Oryzias latipes: one gene and its partners. The protein of the gene in region 4 interacts with the protein of the main gene of each other region in a pairwise test. Links are inferred from orthologs where the notes say so. Each region holds a gene or a part of one and is shown on either strand. Other genes may lie near its edges. The genes, in order: phosphoribosyltransferase domain-containing protein 1, syntenin-1, trim23 and flad1.

The links.
Region 1: the proteins of flad1 (region 4) and phosphoribosyltransferase domain-containing protein 1 interact in binary tests that used the Homo sapiens proteins (3 or more experiments, as listed by UniProt). The two-hybrid records come from large-scale screens. The link is inferred for Oryzias latipes from reciprocal best matches to the Homo sapiens genes FLAD1 and PRTFDC1.
Region 2: the proteins of flad1 (region 4) and syntenin-1 interact in binary tests that used the Homo sapiens proteins (3 or more experiments, as listed by UniProt). The two-hybrid records come from large-scale screens. The link is inferred for Oryzias latipes from reciprocal best matches to the Homo sapiens genes FLAD1 and SDCBP.
Region 3: the proteins of flad1 (region 4) and trim23 interact in binary tests that used the Homo sapiens proteins (3 or more experiments, as listed by UniProt). The two-hybrid records come from large-scale screens. The link is inferred for Oryzias latipes from reciprocal best matches to the Homo sapiens genes FLAD1 and TRIM23.

Annotation. Positions count from the first base shown.
Region 1 is NC_019875.2:25,189,647-25,193,659, reverse strand, and holds the start of phosphoribosyltransferase domain-containing protein 1, read right to left. Parts: upstream 2,835-4,013; 5' UTR 2,675-2,834; coding exon 2,627-2,674; intron 2,456-2,626; coding exon 2,349-2,455; intron 285-2,348; coding exon 101-284; intron 1-100. UniProt on the Homo sapiens protein: Has low, barely detectable phosphoribosyltransferase activity (in vitro). Binds GMP, IMP and alpha-D-5-phosphoribosyl 1-pyrophosphate (PRPP). Is not expected to contribute to purine metabolism or GMP salvage.
Region 2 is NC_019865.2:5,716,937-5,721,137, forward strand, and holds the start of syntenin-1, read right to left. Parts: upstream 2,842-4,201; 5' UTR 2,674-2,841; intron 1-2,673. UniProt on the Homo sapiens protein: Multifunctional adapter protein involved in diverse array of functions including trafficking of transmembrane proteins, neuro and immunomodulation, exosome biogenesis, and tumorigenesis.
Region 3 is NC_019870.2:3,055,360-3,058,438, reverse strand, and holds part of trim23 (E3 ubiquitin-protein ligase TRIM23), read left to right. Parts: intron 1-1,955; coding exon 1,956-2,090; intron 2,091-2,161; coding exon 2,162-2,291; intron 2,292-2,371; coding exon 2,372-2,482; intron 2,483-3,079.
Region 4 is NC_019874.2:18,344,402-18,348,559, reverse strand, and holds the start of flad1 (FAD synthase), read right to left. Parts: upstream 2,819-4,158; 5' UTR 2,616-2,818; intron 2,531-2,615; 5' UTR 2,464-2,530; intron 1,723-2,463; 5' UTR 1,639-1,722; coding exon 1,631-1,638; intron 1,503-1,630; coding exon 1,355-1,502; intron 881-1,354; coding exon 503-880; intron 304-502; coding exon 190-303; intron 106-189; coding exon 1-105. UniProt on the Homo sapiens protein: Catalyzes the adenylation of flavin mononucleotide (FMN) to form flavin adenine dinucleotide (FAD) coenzyme.

The DNA of each region.
Region 1 (4,013 bases), on a different chromosome or scaffold from region 4:
CATGCGTGAAAAGCGGCAGGCCACTCCCACACATTTTTAACCCATGATCATTGGATGTCAACATCATCACTTCCTGCCCTGCAGCAGGATGAAAGCTCACCAGGTAACTCTTCAGGCGGATGAAGTGAACTCTCATGGGAATTGTGTGGTCGGAGTTGCAGCTGAGAGCTTTGATCCTGTCCACCAGGTCGGCGCAGAACTGGTAACCTCCTTTCAGCACGCACAGAACCACAATGTCATGGTCGCCCAGGTCATCCATGATGTTCCGAGCCAGGCGCTCCGTCCTTGAAACGACACAACAAAGAGGCTCTGCAGCAGGAGTTCCCAAAGCTGTCCAGGTTATTTCATAAAAATGTGACATCAAATGGCTTTAGAGCCTTTTAAAAAGGTTTTTTGTTTTTCAAATTCCAATTTCTTTTGTATTTTTTCATGAGCGCCAGGAAAAAAAAATCTATTTTTTTAACACATTTTTGCACTTTATGAAGTAGTGTACATCACAAGAGTTTATGTAATTAGGTTTATGCAGGCAGAACAAAGAAATCTATGGGAAGACAGATTGTGAGAGGGGAAAAATAATCCAATCCATTTTTAGGAACTGAGACCATTTTGTTTCATAACCATTTCCTCTTTAGATATTTTATTGTTTAAGAAGACATAATGGAGACATAATGATTCCATTAATAAAGAGTTTCACTAAAGTTCCTAATAGTAATAAATTTACTTGTTTTGTTGTACATTTCCTCATTATTGCAAAGTGTTTTTTACAAAATGTGACACGTTTGAAAAAAAAAACCTCATCTGTAGCAGTTAAGATTAGGTTTGTGCATGGCAGACAAATTAAACATTAGCATCTCTTGAATTTTGTTTGACATACTTTGATTTCTATAGTATTTCATTTGTCACACAAATAAGTTAAAGATATTTGGTAGATTGTAATTTCTGTTAACAAAAAATAGTATTTTTAAGTCTAATACAAGTAGTCTATTCTAAAAGTGGTACTTATATATTTTAATTATTGTGTGATTAAAATTTTCAAATTTAGTCTGTAAAGTATTCAGTTAGTATACTTTCTACACACTCAACATTATACTTGATATACTTATACACAAGTATACTTCATAAAATAGACCTCAAGTGTACGTTTTTTTTTTACCTTTTGCAAAGGTTTATAGCTAAAATGAGGATGGAGTGGTGAAAAGTGAGGAATCTAAACTAAAACTACTTTTTAATAGCAGTTTTTATTTTAGAAATTGTAAACTAATGTAATTAGGATTTTTTTAATAACTTCCTCTACCTTTAAGGTTTACTTTTCTTTCCCAATCCTGAATTCTAGCAGGTTATTTCTAAACAAAGTGAGTAAGCTTTTACTTTTAACAGATTTCTTTGTTTTAAAAGCCTAAAAACGTTAAAGTTCCCCTCTGATCCCCTTTTGATCTATTTTCAAAGTGTTCCCTTGTTTTTTTTAAAATCATAAATAAAAAAAAACGTCTTTTGTTATCTAGGACATAGTTTCTGCAGAGCAGCAGTAGTTCATGTGAAGTTTACTTCTGAGTGACCACTGGCACAAAGCAGGCCTACCCTTTTCCCACCATCCCTTTTGTTTACACTCTCTCCCACTGGCTTACAGCCCCTCACAACCCCATCCTAACATTTTCAGTCCAACAGAAATGCAGAGCACTATTGCAGCCGTGCAGTTTTTGTACCAGATTCCAGCTCAGACAAGGAGAACAAAGACGTGCATGGATCTATTTGTCTTCAAGTGGATGCTTTAGAATGGAGCAGAAGTATGTGAGCTTGTGGCTTGCTGTCATAGGCCCTACGTCACACCTACAAGCTTTTTACAACTGCATTTTTGTTTGCTCCTGATACACAATGATTTGAATAAAGAAATACTCAGAAATGCAATTTTAAGCTTACATCTTCCGTCAGGAGAAAAATGCTGTTGAACATGTTAAAAACACTTTTTTTTTTTTTTGGAGTGGTTGTTTAAACTGTTGGAAAAACAGTTTATTTCTTTTGGAATTGGTGTCACATTAGGAACATGCATGTGTGGAATGAGGAGCAGGGCTGTTCCCTTCAAATCATATGTGAAAACTTGTCTGGCAGTGCCATCCCACACATGCATGTTCATTTTAAATGCTGCCCTATGGAAAAAGAAAATCTACAACAGTTTAAGGATTATTGTAAAGGTGATCTACATAAAACAAACTTTACTTTTGGTGCATTTTACTACACAGGAATTAGATGGCATCCTATAAAATCTTTGGAAGACACATGGAGCTATGATGTAACCTCACAGAAGGCCAAACATCTGGGAGGTCATCTGACAGGCCTCCAGAGTTTTGTACCTATCCATGATGACGCCATGCGGAATGATGACGCAGTCCAAGTCTCCGTAGTAGTGCGCTGGGTAGCTGAAGAGGTCCAGGCTGTAACCTGGCCAGTCGTCGTGAATCTGAGAGGAAACGCAGCAGAAAGCATTAGATCTTCAGTCTGCATCTTTGCAAGTTTACTGTATTTTTAGTTTTTTAAAGGTGCAAACTTCTACAGTCTACACGTGGCGCCACCCCCTGCAAAACTGCGCAAACGCGTTCATTCACTTCTTCGTTTCCTCTCGTTAAATTACCACAATGCCCTCGCTTTTGCTCTCGGCCCGGACAGAAACTTCAGCCATTTTGAAGAAGAAGAAAAAAAACCCGCTCTCGTTTCAACCAAAGTGCTGCGAGTCTGTGCGGAGGGGTTTGACCTGGTCGGGAGGAGGATCTGCGCGGGGGAATGTGGAGCACTATTGTGAAACCATCCGGGAGTCCCTGCCCCTCTGCAGTGTCACATGCGGCCACCAGGGGCGCTGTGACACCACAATTCCTCAGAATGGAGCGGCCGAGTCAAGAGAACACGCTTTCTTATCTTAACACAATAAAAACATTTCTTTCTTAAAAGACCCCAAAAACAAACAGTTACTGCACTAAATTCTTATCACCTAATTTTTAAAATGTGCCCCTGTTATTATTATTTGAATGCCATGTTAACATTGTTTTCATCATGTCTGCAAACAGTTTTTTTTCAATCTGCTTCTTAATTTTTTAGTATTTAATATTAATTTAAACACGTAAAAGAATCTGTTGTTTTTAAACAAATACAACTATAGAATCATCTTTGAGCAGGTTTGATGCTCTTAATTTGACATAAGTCTTCAAAATTCTTCCCTAATATTGGAAATTTTGAATATAAAATTCTATCTATCTATCTATATAGATTCAATATAGATAGATAGACTTTACTCATCCCACAATGGGGAAATTCTCTTATCTTCAGCAGCAAAAAAAAGACATTCAGGAATTCAAACAACCAAAAAAAGGTGGTGTTCACAGAGGATAGTGACCTTCAGAAAAAATATATATATATATATATATATATATTTATATATTTATATTTATATATGTTGTCCCTTCTTTTTACTTTTTAGTAGGATTTACACTTGTATGTAAACTAAAAATATTTACATCAGCATGTAAAAAGAAGGACTATACAAAAATGTTCCCGTTGTACAGAAGATGTAAAATAGTACATTTATGCTTTATTGCCTAGATCTAAATAAATCTTAAAAATTAATTCAAATCTGGCTCCTTAAGTAAAAATAATTGTGTATTTCTTCAGACAAGGCAAGGCAAGTTTATTTGTATAGCACAATTCATACCCAAAGTAATTCAAGGTGATTCACAAAACAGAAAAATACATTAATATCACAATACATCATAGAAATCATCAACGTAAAATTTACTTTAAAAGAAAAGAAAAAAAAATAGAAAATTGATTTAAAAAGAGAGGAAGGAAATGAAAGAAAAGTGCAGATAGGACCTTTCAGTCATATACACGGCTAAACAGAAATGTTTTAAGTCTAGATTTGAACATGAACACAGAAGAGGCCTGTCTTACGACTTCAGGGAGGCTGTTCCAGATTTTAGCTGCAGAATATTGAAACGCTGATTCCCCTTGTTTAGTTCTGACTCTGG
Region 2 (4,201 bases), on a different chromosome or scaffold from region 4:
CATGAAATGCTGTTATGAAAGACTTAATTACGTTTTTCTTATTAAAAAAAAGACAGAAGATGCAAAAATACTAAGTAAAAGGCAAGAAAAATTTAGCTTAGACAGAACACGTTGTACCCAAAGTATTCATCATGTATACAGTCTATTTACTGATATAGTCATCTCACATGGCATGTGTTTACGATCCAAGTGCCCGACTCTTAGTTCTCTTCTTCTGCATAGCTTCCCGTTTCAGACAGGAGCTCAATGGTAGGAAATGATAGGGACGTTTGTGTCTCCAAACAGGTGCTGTTAAAGTAAAGGCGGATGTGTTTTACACAATGTGAGATCACGAGAAATGCCAGGTGAAGTTTGCATTCTCTTTTTATTACCATTTGCGTCAGCAGATCTTATTAGATAGAAACGTGCAGCTGTTAGATCAAGTTAATGCTGCTTTTTAGGAACCTTTTTATTTTATGTGAAAACGTTTCAAATCCTCCAAAATCCGCAAAGGAATCTCAACTGATCAGAATCTATCCACCAGTTCACACACAGAATGACACTGAAACAGCGCGGTCTAATCAGGAAAAATCATGTGACACATAGACAGGAAAAGACGCTGGAGCAGGACTTTTAACATGTCGGTTAAGACCAAAGAGGCCACCGTGCAGCACTAAGTCAATCATTATATCGATGTGCATTAGGAGGCTGATGTAAAGTATGGTTCTGAGATCAGAGTAGCTCTTCTGTGAGGCAGACTGTCAGCTTTGAAGAGCTGCTGCTTCAAGTGTGAAGATTAGAAACATCAGAGCTACAAAAACAGGTCCTACAATCCAGTTTATGTAGAGAGCATAAATCAAGCAACAGTTGGTTTTTTAACATCACTGAGGGCTCACTCCATTCTGCTCATCTCAGTCCTCCAGGACAAGTGCATCATTGTGTGTGTGTGGACACAGAGAGGCCTTTTTGTTAACCTTCCACTGTTTACTCTTCAGCTATGTGTTTGCTTGCTTTGTATGCCTCTCTCATACAGACTCTCTGGCTGAACATGAATACGCCTGGAAACAAAACAGCAGCATTTGAGCAACCCTTCAGATGACATAACAGGATCATTGAGACGTCTGCCACTGCGACGGAAAACAAGGCGCAGATCATTTTACTGAAATATACAAGAAGGAACCCTTTCTGAAGGAGGTTAAAAAAGTTTTTTTTATGGATTGTTAAGGTAAAGATTTCTGATGACGGAAAATATATATGAAGGTCACATTAACAAGTGAAGGTTAACATGACAAAAGAATTTTCTTTTGTTTCAGACTGTTAAATATGTGTGTACTGGTTTCCTGTTAGTTTTTTTAAAACAAATGTTTCATCTAACTTGCTTGCAAAAAAAAGTCAAGAAACTCAAAGTAGTGTTATATTAGGAGGAATGCCAAAGAAAGCTTGTGCAAAGGCTCAGACACACCAGGCCTGGCATGTGTTTGCTCCCATTCAACATATTTTGGTGTGAGCAGCCCATTCAGCAGAACTCGATCTAAAGCTTCTGCTTTATTCTGAAAATCTAGCAGATTATTCATTTACTGTTTTTTTTTTTTTTTTTATAAACTTTACTTCTACTTGAGTCTATAAATATAATGTCAAACTAACAAATTCCTTTAAAAACATGAACGGAAAACAAACAAATGAAAACATGTTAAAGCAGCCCTTAACTTCTAAGAATTATATTTGGTTTGGTTTAAGATGGACTCACCACACACTTAAAATAACCAAAAATGACAGGCTTAAATAATTAAAAAGGTTTAATTTATAAGTGATAGTTCATCCCTGTTCTTACCAGTGTTGTGCCTCAGTTCTTATAACAATTAGCTTATTTTTTTTCTTATTAACCATTAGCCAAACTTTTTGAGTGATCCACTTTGATTGGAAACTTGAGATATACATTTTTTTTATAGTTAGCCACTCTGATATAATTATTTTTCCTATTTTAAATGATATAAGCTTTAAATTTAAACTCTTATCCTATCAAAATAATACATTTTCACTGATCACCATTTATTTTGATAAAGGTACAGCCGGAAGAAACGAGAAACATGACTTATTAAGACTGGAAAGGGGGAAAAAATGCTGACGTCTTCGGGAATCAAGGAAAGAAAAAGGGGAAACTAAAGCAAAAGCATTCAAATTAATTGGCCCGCGTGCTCAAAACTGAGAACAGTTGTGTTGATCAGACACTAATCTCCACAAAGGCCGCTTTGGGTGGGTTTTTAAATAAGTTAACAACCCACAACACTATAAATAAATCAGCAGAATAATCAAATTCTTTATACTCTTGTGATGATGATATTTTAAAACAGACTCTCGTTTCGAGGCGAAGCTAACTTGAGACGCGCGAGATGTTCCTGAACGTTACCCGAAACTGTACACACATATAAGAAGCAGCATTGTTGATATAGAAAACATATATTTTTCACGTTCATAAATACAATAGCATGAGACTGAAGCGAGCGCGTGGATTAAAATAGAATAAAATTTGAAGAAGAAGGAGCTCAAAGAAGCGTCTTTGTTCCGGCATAAACAGCTAGAGGGAGGTTAGCTAACGGCGTTAGCATGTAGGTAAAAACAGAAATTCACCTCAGTTACAGCTACGTACGACAGATGGCCTCGCGGCGATACTTAAAAAAATTAAACATAGCTCACCTGTAGATGTGAATTTGTTTCAAAGTCCAAAAAAAGATGAGCACTCCGTTATTTTCTGCCTCTTCGGTCTTCTCGTCGCAGACACCTTAAGGGGACTTCTAGAAAGTGACGTCACTGTTGGCTTCCTGCTCCTGTGCACCATGTCAATCACAGCTGACGTTATAAGACACGCCCAGTTTCAGTCACATGACCCCTGACTCAGGCTGGTTTTATGAAGGTCTTGTGACTGAACTTCTGTGTGATATAAGGTCATAATAAGTGATACTTATATAAATTAATGTTAGAAGAGAATTGTGTTAATTTAGCTGATAAATTAAATTCCCAAATGATCTTTGACGTGTGTGTAACTGTTCAGTGTTAGGCTTTTCAAGAATGTCTCTGGAAAAAGTTTGTAGATGTTCCAAAATCCTCCATAACCTAGGGCATTAGAAGCATTTTTTATTCTCTTTCCATTTTCTTACATTTTTATACTGTTATAAACCAACATTAGTAATATTTTTTACATCAAATTTCTCCTGGTTTTATCTCAGATGTTGATGTTTGTTTATTACAGTTGTATGACATAGTCTGATTTTGCTGGAGGTTATTTATGAGTCATTCCTTCCGACTGTCACCTCATGCAGGCTTAGTAAAAAAAAAAAAAAAAACACCTTTTATGAGTTGATAGGAGCTCAGATTTGCACACGGTCTCATGGATAAATATTCTTTTTTTTTTTTTTAGGCGGATAAATCCATTTGTCAACCAGTTGATAATTGTTCTTTCTTATTAATGAAACTACACAGTTAAAGTTGGTATGCTCCAGTCAGCTACACTTTAAGCTCCTTAACTCTCCCCTCTGCACCCTTTGGGTGACTGTAGAGATTATTTATGTCTGAAACGTAGGAATAAAATGTCTTTATTGCATTTATGTATAATCAGTAAACATAACTGTTTAAAAAAAATATGTTTACTCTGTTTTTGTGAGCAACATTAACATCATTTTGATGTTCCAAAGGTTGTGGTCGTATTAATGTCTTCAAAGACCTGTGCTCTGCTTTTTCACATATACAGTGGGGCAAAAAAGTATTTGTTACTTATCAATCCTGCAAGTTGTCCCCCTTAAAACGATGAGAGGTCTGTAATGTTCATCATAGGTAAACTTACAACAATATTGCCTCTGGTGTCCTGAGACAGCTCTTAGGTATTGGTCGCGGAGACGTGTCTTTTACACAGGTAACCAATTTAAACTCGTGCCATCAATACAGACCACTGAAGGATGGAGGAGCTTCTTACCTTATATAACCATTCATATTATGTTAGATACCTGCATTTCTGAGAACCCTACCGCATTATCAAACTTTATTTAAAACCCATTGTATAGAACCTGGTCCATGTTTTTTGTTGTGGATCATCATTTCACCTTTTTCTGTTCATTTCCAATTGGCTGCTTCCATGAAATCTCAAAAACACTTGACAGGGATAATGTTGCTAATTGAAAAAGAAAAAAAAAACATGACTCATTGTTATTCATTGAAAAATTACTACTTC
Region 3 (3,079 bases), on a different chromosome or scaffold from region 4:
CTCACAACACAACACATTAACTCACAACACAACACAATAACTCACAACAGATTAACTCACAACACAACACATTAACTCACAACGGAAGTAAAGCAGCAATGGAAGTGCTTTTATTCTGAAATTTCCACTGGGCTGATTGGCTAACTGCCTAACAGAAAGTAACGTCACAGTGAGCTGTGGAGGGAGCATGTTTCTTCTACAAGAGAAGCTACACAATGTTAACGCACACTCCTCCGCGCTGCACTCACACCCCTCTCTGTCGCTGCGCGTGCTCCGCTCCTCTCCGTTCTTCAGCCCCCTCCTCTCACACTCACTCGGTCCCCAACACCCCCCACCCACCCACACACCCTCCCAGTCCCTGCACGCGCTCCTCTCCTTTCTTCCCCTCCCTCTTCCTCTCACACACGCACGCGGTCCCCAACACTTGACACGACACATGTGGAGAAATCCCCACTGTCAGGCTTTAATGAACACAATTTCTAAGAGGCGGGGCGTTGCACTCCCCCAACAACAGGTTAGATGACAAAACCCGGTCCATTAAGCTCTGCCGTTCACGGAGCTTCAGTAGAACTCCAAAAGCCACACGGCCTAACGTAGGCCGCTATTATATATTCATGAGTGGGAAAAAACCCGCTGAACCGACCTTTAAACCATACAAATTATGCATTTTTGACCGCAAATTTACACCCAAAACCGCCCAATCTGGCAACGCTGCTGCTAGCTTCTCTTGTAGAAAATCATGCTCCCTCCACAGCTCACTGTGACGTTACTTTCTGTGAGGCAGTTAGCCGCTCAGCCCAGTTGAAATTTCAGAATAAAAGCACTTCCATTGCAGCTTTACTTCCGTTGTGAGTTAATGTGTTGTGTTGTGAGTTAATGTGTTGTGAGTTATTGTGTTGTGTTGTGAGTTATTGTGTTGTATTGTGAGTTAATGTGTTGTGTTGTGAGTTATTGTGTTGTGTTGTGAGTTAATGTGTTGTGTTGTGAGTTATTGTGTTGTGTTGTGATTAATGTGTTGTGTTGTGAGTTAATGTGTTGTGTTGTAAAGTTAATGTGTTGTGTGTAAAGTTAATGTGTTGTGTTGTAATTTATTGTGTTGTGTTGTGAGTTATTGTGTTGTGTTGTGAGTTAATGTGTTGTGTTGTGAGTTAATGTGTTGTGTTGTGAGTTATTGTGTTGTGTTGTGATTAATGTGTTGTGTTGTGAGTTAATGTGTTGTGTTGTAAAGTTAATGTGTTGTGTGTAAAGTTAATGTGTTGTGTGTAAAGTTAATTTGTTGTGTTGTGATTTAATGTGTTGTGTGTAAAGTTAATGTGTTGTGTTGTGAGTTAATGTGTTGTGTGTAAAGTTAATGTGTTGTGTTGTGACCCTTCTGGGCCACCGTACTAAATAGTGCCTTCAGCATTTTCTAGTTCTGTCCGAATCTACAATTCCAAAATCCAGTGCCCTGGAAATTTCCCTGAAGTCTCTGCAAAAAAACCTGTGTGCATCGATGCTCACTATATCATTTAATATAGACCACAATGCATTGCGTCGGAACATTTTATACCAAAATAAATGCGTTAAAATGTATTTTTTTAATAGACCATCAATGTTTTTATTTTCAGGAGACAGTGGACTCATAAATAATCGTCGCAAAACGCTCACAGCACTTCGTGAAATTGATGACATCATATTCGCCGTTTAAAACAAAAGTAGTGAGCGTGGCGTCCGAATTGCTGTTAAAATTCAGGGCTCGACATAGTGCAGCACTATAGAGTTTTTTAGTAGTTAGGGGTTATGGTGGGAATTTGGACAGAGCCTTGATCTTATTTTGAAAATGTTCGTGTGTTTTAGAATTTGGATCAGTTTTTTTGTTCATGATAACTTCTCTGAATCAGTAGGAGTAGAGTGGTGCGTTCCAAGGCATTGAAAGCACCGTGTTGTGTTTGCGTGCGGCTTCTCTCCCGATGCAGGACGACTGCAGGGTTGTTCTGGCAAAGCAGGAGATCAGCTGTTTACTGGAGACGCTTCAGAAGCAGCAGCACCAGTTCACGGAGCTGGCAGACCACATCCAGCTGGACGCCGGCATCCCCGTCACCTTCACCAAGGTCTTCGTCTGCGTTTGGAAACCTTTGCCTCGCGGTGACAAACCCAAAGCTAAACTGAAACGTGTCTTCAGGACAACCGAGTTCACATCGGACCAAAGATGGAGATCCGGGTGGTGACTCTGGGGCTCGATGGGGCTGGAAAAACAACCATTCTATTCAAGCTGAAGCAAGACGAGTTCATGCAGCCCATCCCAACCATCGGTAAAGACGTCTGCACTGGTTAACCATACGATCTTTGAAAGATTGAGTTGAATGAAACTTGGTTCTGGTTCTTTTTTGAGGCTTCAACGTGGAGACCGTCGAGTACAAGAACTTAAAATTTACCATCTGGGACGTTGGTGGAAAGCATAAGCTGAGGCCGCTCTGGAAACACTATTATCTCAACACTCAAGGTTGGTGCTTCACTTGTTATTCTTCTGATTAACTTATAGTGGTTAAATGAAAAAGGAGATTTTGCTCAGCTTTAGTTTCTTTTTTTATCGACCAAGAACTTCGCAGATGGGGTCTTCTGGAAATTGTCTCAGTAACAGCAGGAACAGACTTTTTTTTAACTTTATCTAAAGTTGTTTTTAGACTTTTTTTTGTAAACTCACTTTGAGGGAATTGCACCACAGACTTGTCCTGTAGTCGTCCTCATCCAGAGAGTCGAGTTGTAGTAAATGCTTGTGTGCAAAGCTCACTTTAAGCTGACTGCATATGAAAACTGGACGGAGTGACTCCTCCCCCCTGGCGTCCCAAACAGGAGGTAAATCCTGGCTCCCAGAAGCCAAAAACCTATAGACTTCTATAAATAAACCGCTATTACTCAATCAATGAATGATTTTTCACCTTTTCTATCACAATTTAAGGCTCCAGCAGAAAGAAATGGATCAGAGTAGAACTACCAATCAGATTGACTTGATTTCAATTTATTTAACAATTTACATTTAAACCAAATGGATGTTATTTTTACTTTTGCATAATTAGTGACATAATATGAAATGTGATAG
Region 4 (4,158 bases):
ACTCAACCAGTCGGGGTAGGACCCAAGAGCCACCCTTTTGCCCCAGCTGGCCTGCAGTTTGGTCAGAGTGGGTGCGATGTCTGTCTCATCTGCATCCACAAACACCTTACAGGACAAGTTTGGTTACCCCTTTTTGCCCTAGTAAAACACATGAAAATCCTTGAATGACTTGCATGATGATGGCGTTACCTCACGACTGTGAAAGGTGGTTCCTGAAGTAGCAAAGAGCTGTTCCAGCCCCGTGAAGGCCCTCTCCATTAAAGCCGGGATCCCAGGGAACACATACACATTACGCACACTGACCTGTGAGAATGAGCATTCATACAAGAAAAACAAACACGTCTTCACCACAAAAAATATCCTGACCTATAAGAACTTCTTAAAATCATGAAAATTTTTATCTGAACCTGACAAGATGCATGAAATTCATTTTCAAGGATATTGAAGAAGTGAATATAAATTACTTAAAGCTATGAATCCCATTCTGTAAACATTAACATACCACAGGGTAGAGTTGTGGTTTCCCAGTTTGAGGATCCACTCCATAGTTGAGTTTGGCAGAACGGGGCACCTTAGCCATCTTCATGGCCGGACTGTTTTTGTCCGTCCCCCCAAAGAATTCCTTAACCAGCAAGGTGAGATCCGGATGGTGATACATCTCCTCTTGGAATGCCATGGCAATGCTTTCCAAGGTGACATCGTCATGGGTGGGTCCGATGCCCCCCGAGGTGAACAGGTGTGTATACTGAGAGGAGAGGAGGGCTACCTCTTTGGCTATGACCTCCTGTATATCTGGTATGACGGTTATACGCTGTACAGAGACGCCAAGTCTGCGAAGTGCTTGTGTTAGAAAGGTGCTGTTGGTGTCCACTGTGTAGCCCTGAAAAGAAGACAAAGTTTGACTCTAGAGTTTGCAGCCACACACACAAGTGACATTCAAGGACTACAAAAAACTCCAGACCGCCGCCTGATGAAATTCAAGGAGTCACAGTGAGCGTATGCTGAGAGTGAGGCGTGACATTGGACGAAAATCAAAGAGCTCATGTTTAAATCATGATCATGTCAAGTCAAGGAGTTATAGTCAACTTGTCATTTTAAATATGAAACATCACTGCCACATCAAATAACCATCACAAGGTTTTCCTTGGATCTTGAAATGGGGATCTGAGACGGGATAAGAGGCCCAAAATGATAACGACTCACTGCACATGTTAATAACATCAAACATCGTTTATTTAAGCCGTATTCAGGAGGCAGTTGTGCGTGATCTTTCAAGAAGCGAGCCTCTGCCACTCATTCTGAGGTTGAAAGCAACACAAAGCAAAAATATCAATCAACAACAAAAAAACCTCACCTTTAGAATCTCATCTCCAATGATAAGAATGGCTGCAGTGGGAGCCGCAGTGGAGCTCTGCCTCTCGGCGGACATGGCTGCTCTGCTGAGTTGTGCCGTCAGCCTCCTCACACGCACCCCCGCTCTACTTAAACTGGGCAAGGAAAAGCTGGGAAGAAATGTGTGACGTATAAGTGTTCAACTCCAAAACAAATTCCAAACCATCTCTTAAAAGTCGCCTTTAAAGGCTAAAATTAGTCACTATATGTTCCTTCATGCACAAACAACAATGCTTACATAAACATGGATCCACACAGACCACCCAAAAAAAGATCTACAGCAGTTCAGACCCTCTTTCCCTTCATGATTCCTATTCAATTAGGGGGTGTCTAGGGAAACAAAAAACATAAGAAGAAATAAGGGCAAAGAGCATTTAGAAAAACGAATGTAGTTCTGAGATTTTGAACATCGGCAATTTTTATTTAAAATGCAAGTCATGTAATAATTTGGGTCAGAAATGCTATTGTCCACCTTCAAAATCTTCCATGGAACAACTAAAACAAAGTCAACATGGACTTTCATAATTATGCTGCAGTATCTAACATAAACCTTTATTTGTTGATGTTGCTAAAATTCATATTGCCAATTTGTATTATACAATAAATTTATGAAATAAAGAAAACGATCACATTGTAAGTCTGCAACGTTGGAGACCCAGTTTTTCTTTACTGTGATTATTTTCTAGTAAGTTACAGAGAGAGTAGCAACGTTGGACACAATCTCAGTCTTATGTACCCTTTACATATTATTTTTTTACACCAACTTAAATACAGTTATGGACAAAGTTCTGTATTTTTATATTTTAAAAGAAGCAACTACTTTGGGGGAAAAAACTAGTGCCCGCGTTAAGGACTTTCAAATGTACGCTAGTAACTCTGAAGTCTTCTTGCTAGGTACTACTTCAACCTTTGGAAGGGAAGTCAACAACATCGCATTATTGCTAAAATACTAAATACCTTTTTATACTATTAATATAAACATTTGCGATTCTCAGTTAAGATGCGCTCGTAGTGTATCGAATTTGTAGTCCGGTATGTGAACATTATGTCCTTAATTTAAAGGTAACTTACTGTTACTCTGAAGCCGCATATGTCCTCGTTATGAATCCCCACAGCTGTGACGACGGTGGCTCAAGCCCTTTTGGTCCAATCACAAAAAGGAAAGTGACGTTAACAGCCAATGACTTTCAAGGGGCGGGTTTTAACGTTATGCATGTTCTTACAATATCCGGAAGCACGATAACGGTGATCGTCTTAGTTTGTCCAGGTGGTGTGAAGCTGTAGTTTGACTGTACCGAGAAAGGCATTGCATACGTCTGGTATCTAAAAAGTCTTTTCCCCCAGATTTGACGATTTGAGCTACTGTCAAGCTGACCGTCGCGGAAGGATGCGAGGGACGACTTCTTCGAAGGGGAGAGAAAAGGACAACAGCTACTCTCGCACGCCCCTAGTGGCTGGGAGGATCAAATCGGAAATTTCTGATCAGATTATCAACCTTGAAGATGATCAATCCGGAAATGTTGATGGCGCATTTTTGTTTATGTAATATTTTCTGTAAAAAGAGGCGAAATTTTAGCGACGTGTTGAAGGTTTAGTGTCTATTTTAAAGACAGATAAAAAAAAACCTGACCTACATTTAAATTATTGCACAACATTAGAATACAAAAAAACAAACTTTAAACCAAATTGATCATGTTGAGCAGTTCAGTGTCCTTGTCTGTTTCCCCCCTTTTTTTATTCTTTTTATGGAATTGTCAGATTACATTTTAAAAAAATTTTAGATGGTAATTTCTAAAATGGAGAATCAAGGATGTGGAAGTCAAATCTGAAAAATAAACAAAAGGATCCTGTCTTTTCAAAATTAGTCCTGGAGTCTTTATGAGAGAGAGAGAGAGAGAGAGAGAGAGAGAGAGAGAGAGAGAGAGAGAGAGAGCAGATGCATTTAATAAATGTATATAAATAAATATTTAATTAATAAATAAAATCCAGAGCATCTCCAATTTGCAGCAGTAACGCAGGTCAATAAAGGTCTCCTTTATTGTTGTGAGCAGTCTCTTTAAGTCTTGGGTTTAGATTTTCTTTTGTTGGCATTGTTTTGTTGCTTTTTAAGTTTCATTACTTTATTGCAGTTTGACAGAATTTACTCACAAAGACATCCATGACTGCAGTAAGTTCTGTCCCAGCAGAGGCTGCAGTGAGCTGAAGAAAGGTTAGTTTATCTTACACATCACTCATGTATAATAGAGTAGTAAAAATAAAACCTGCAGATATTCCTGCAGATTGATCAGTTTTTGACCTGTATAATAAAAGGTTAGCCTTCACTCTCCTGACAGACGACCAGCACCCATCGTTTATTTAAACCATCAGTTTTACTTCTATTAATGTGAGGACACAGGGCTAAAGTTTTTTTAGACTATGAAACTTGACAAAAACATTTTTAGAAGAGCTTTTCTCAGTTTTTGGTTATAAATAAAAATAGCCGTTCTTCCTCATGAAGTAATACAATATGAAGATGTTATGTACATGTTGCTGCTGCAGTCTAAACATGATGTTGTTTTTGTAGATAATCAATGTAATAAATCTAGCTATTTTGTAAAAAATAATCTATTTTTTAAAAATATTAACATTATTGTTATATTGTTGCAGAAATGTGTCCATATAAAGATGTTATAAAGTTATTTAGAAGGGAAAACATACAAAAAAAGGTGGGGGGGGGGCTTTTCTGAGTGTTAAATTATTGAATATTTTCGTGCACAGACGGATTCA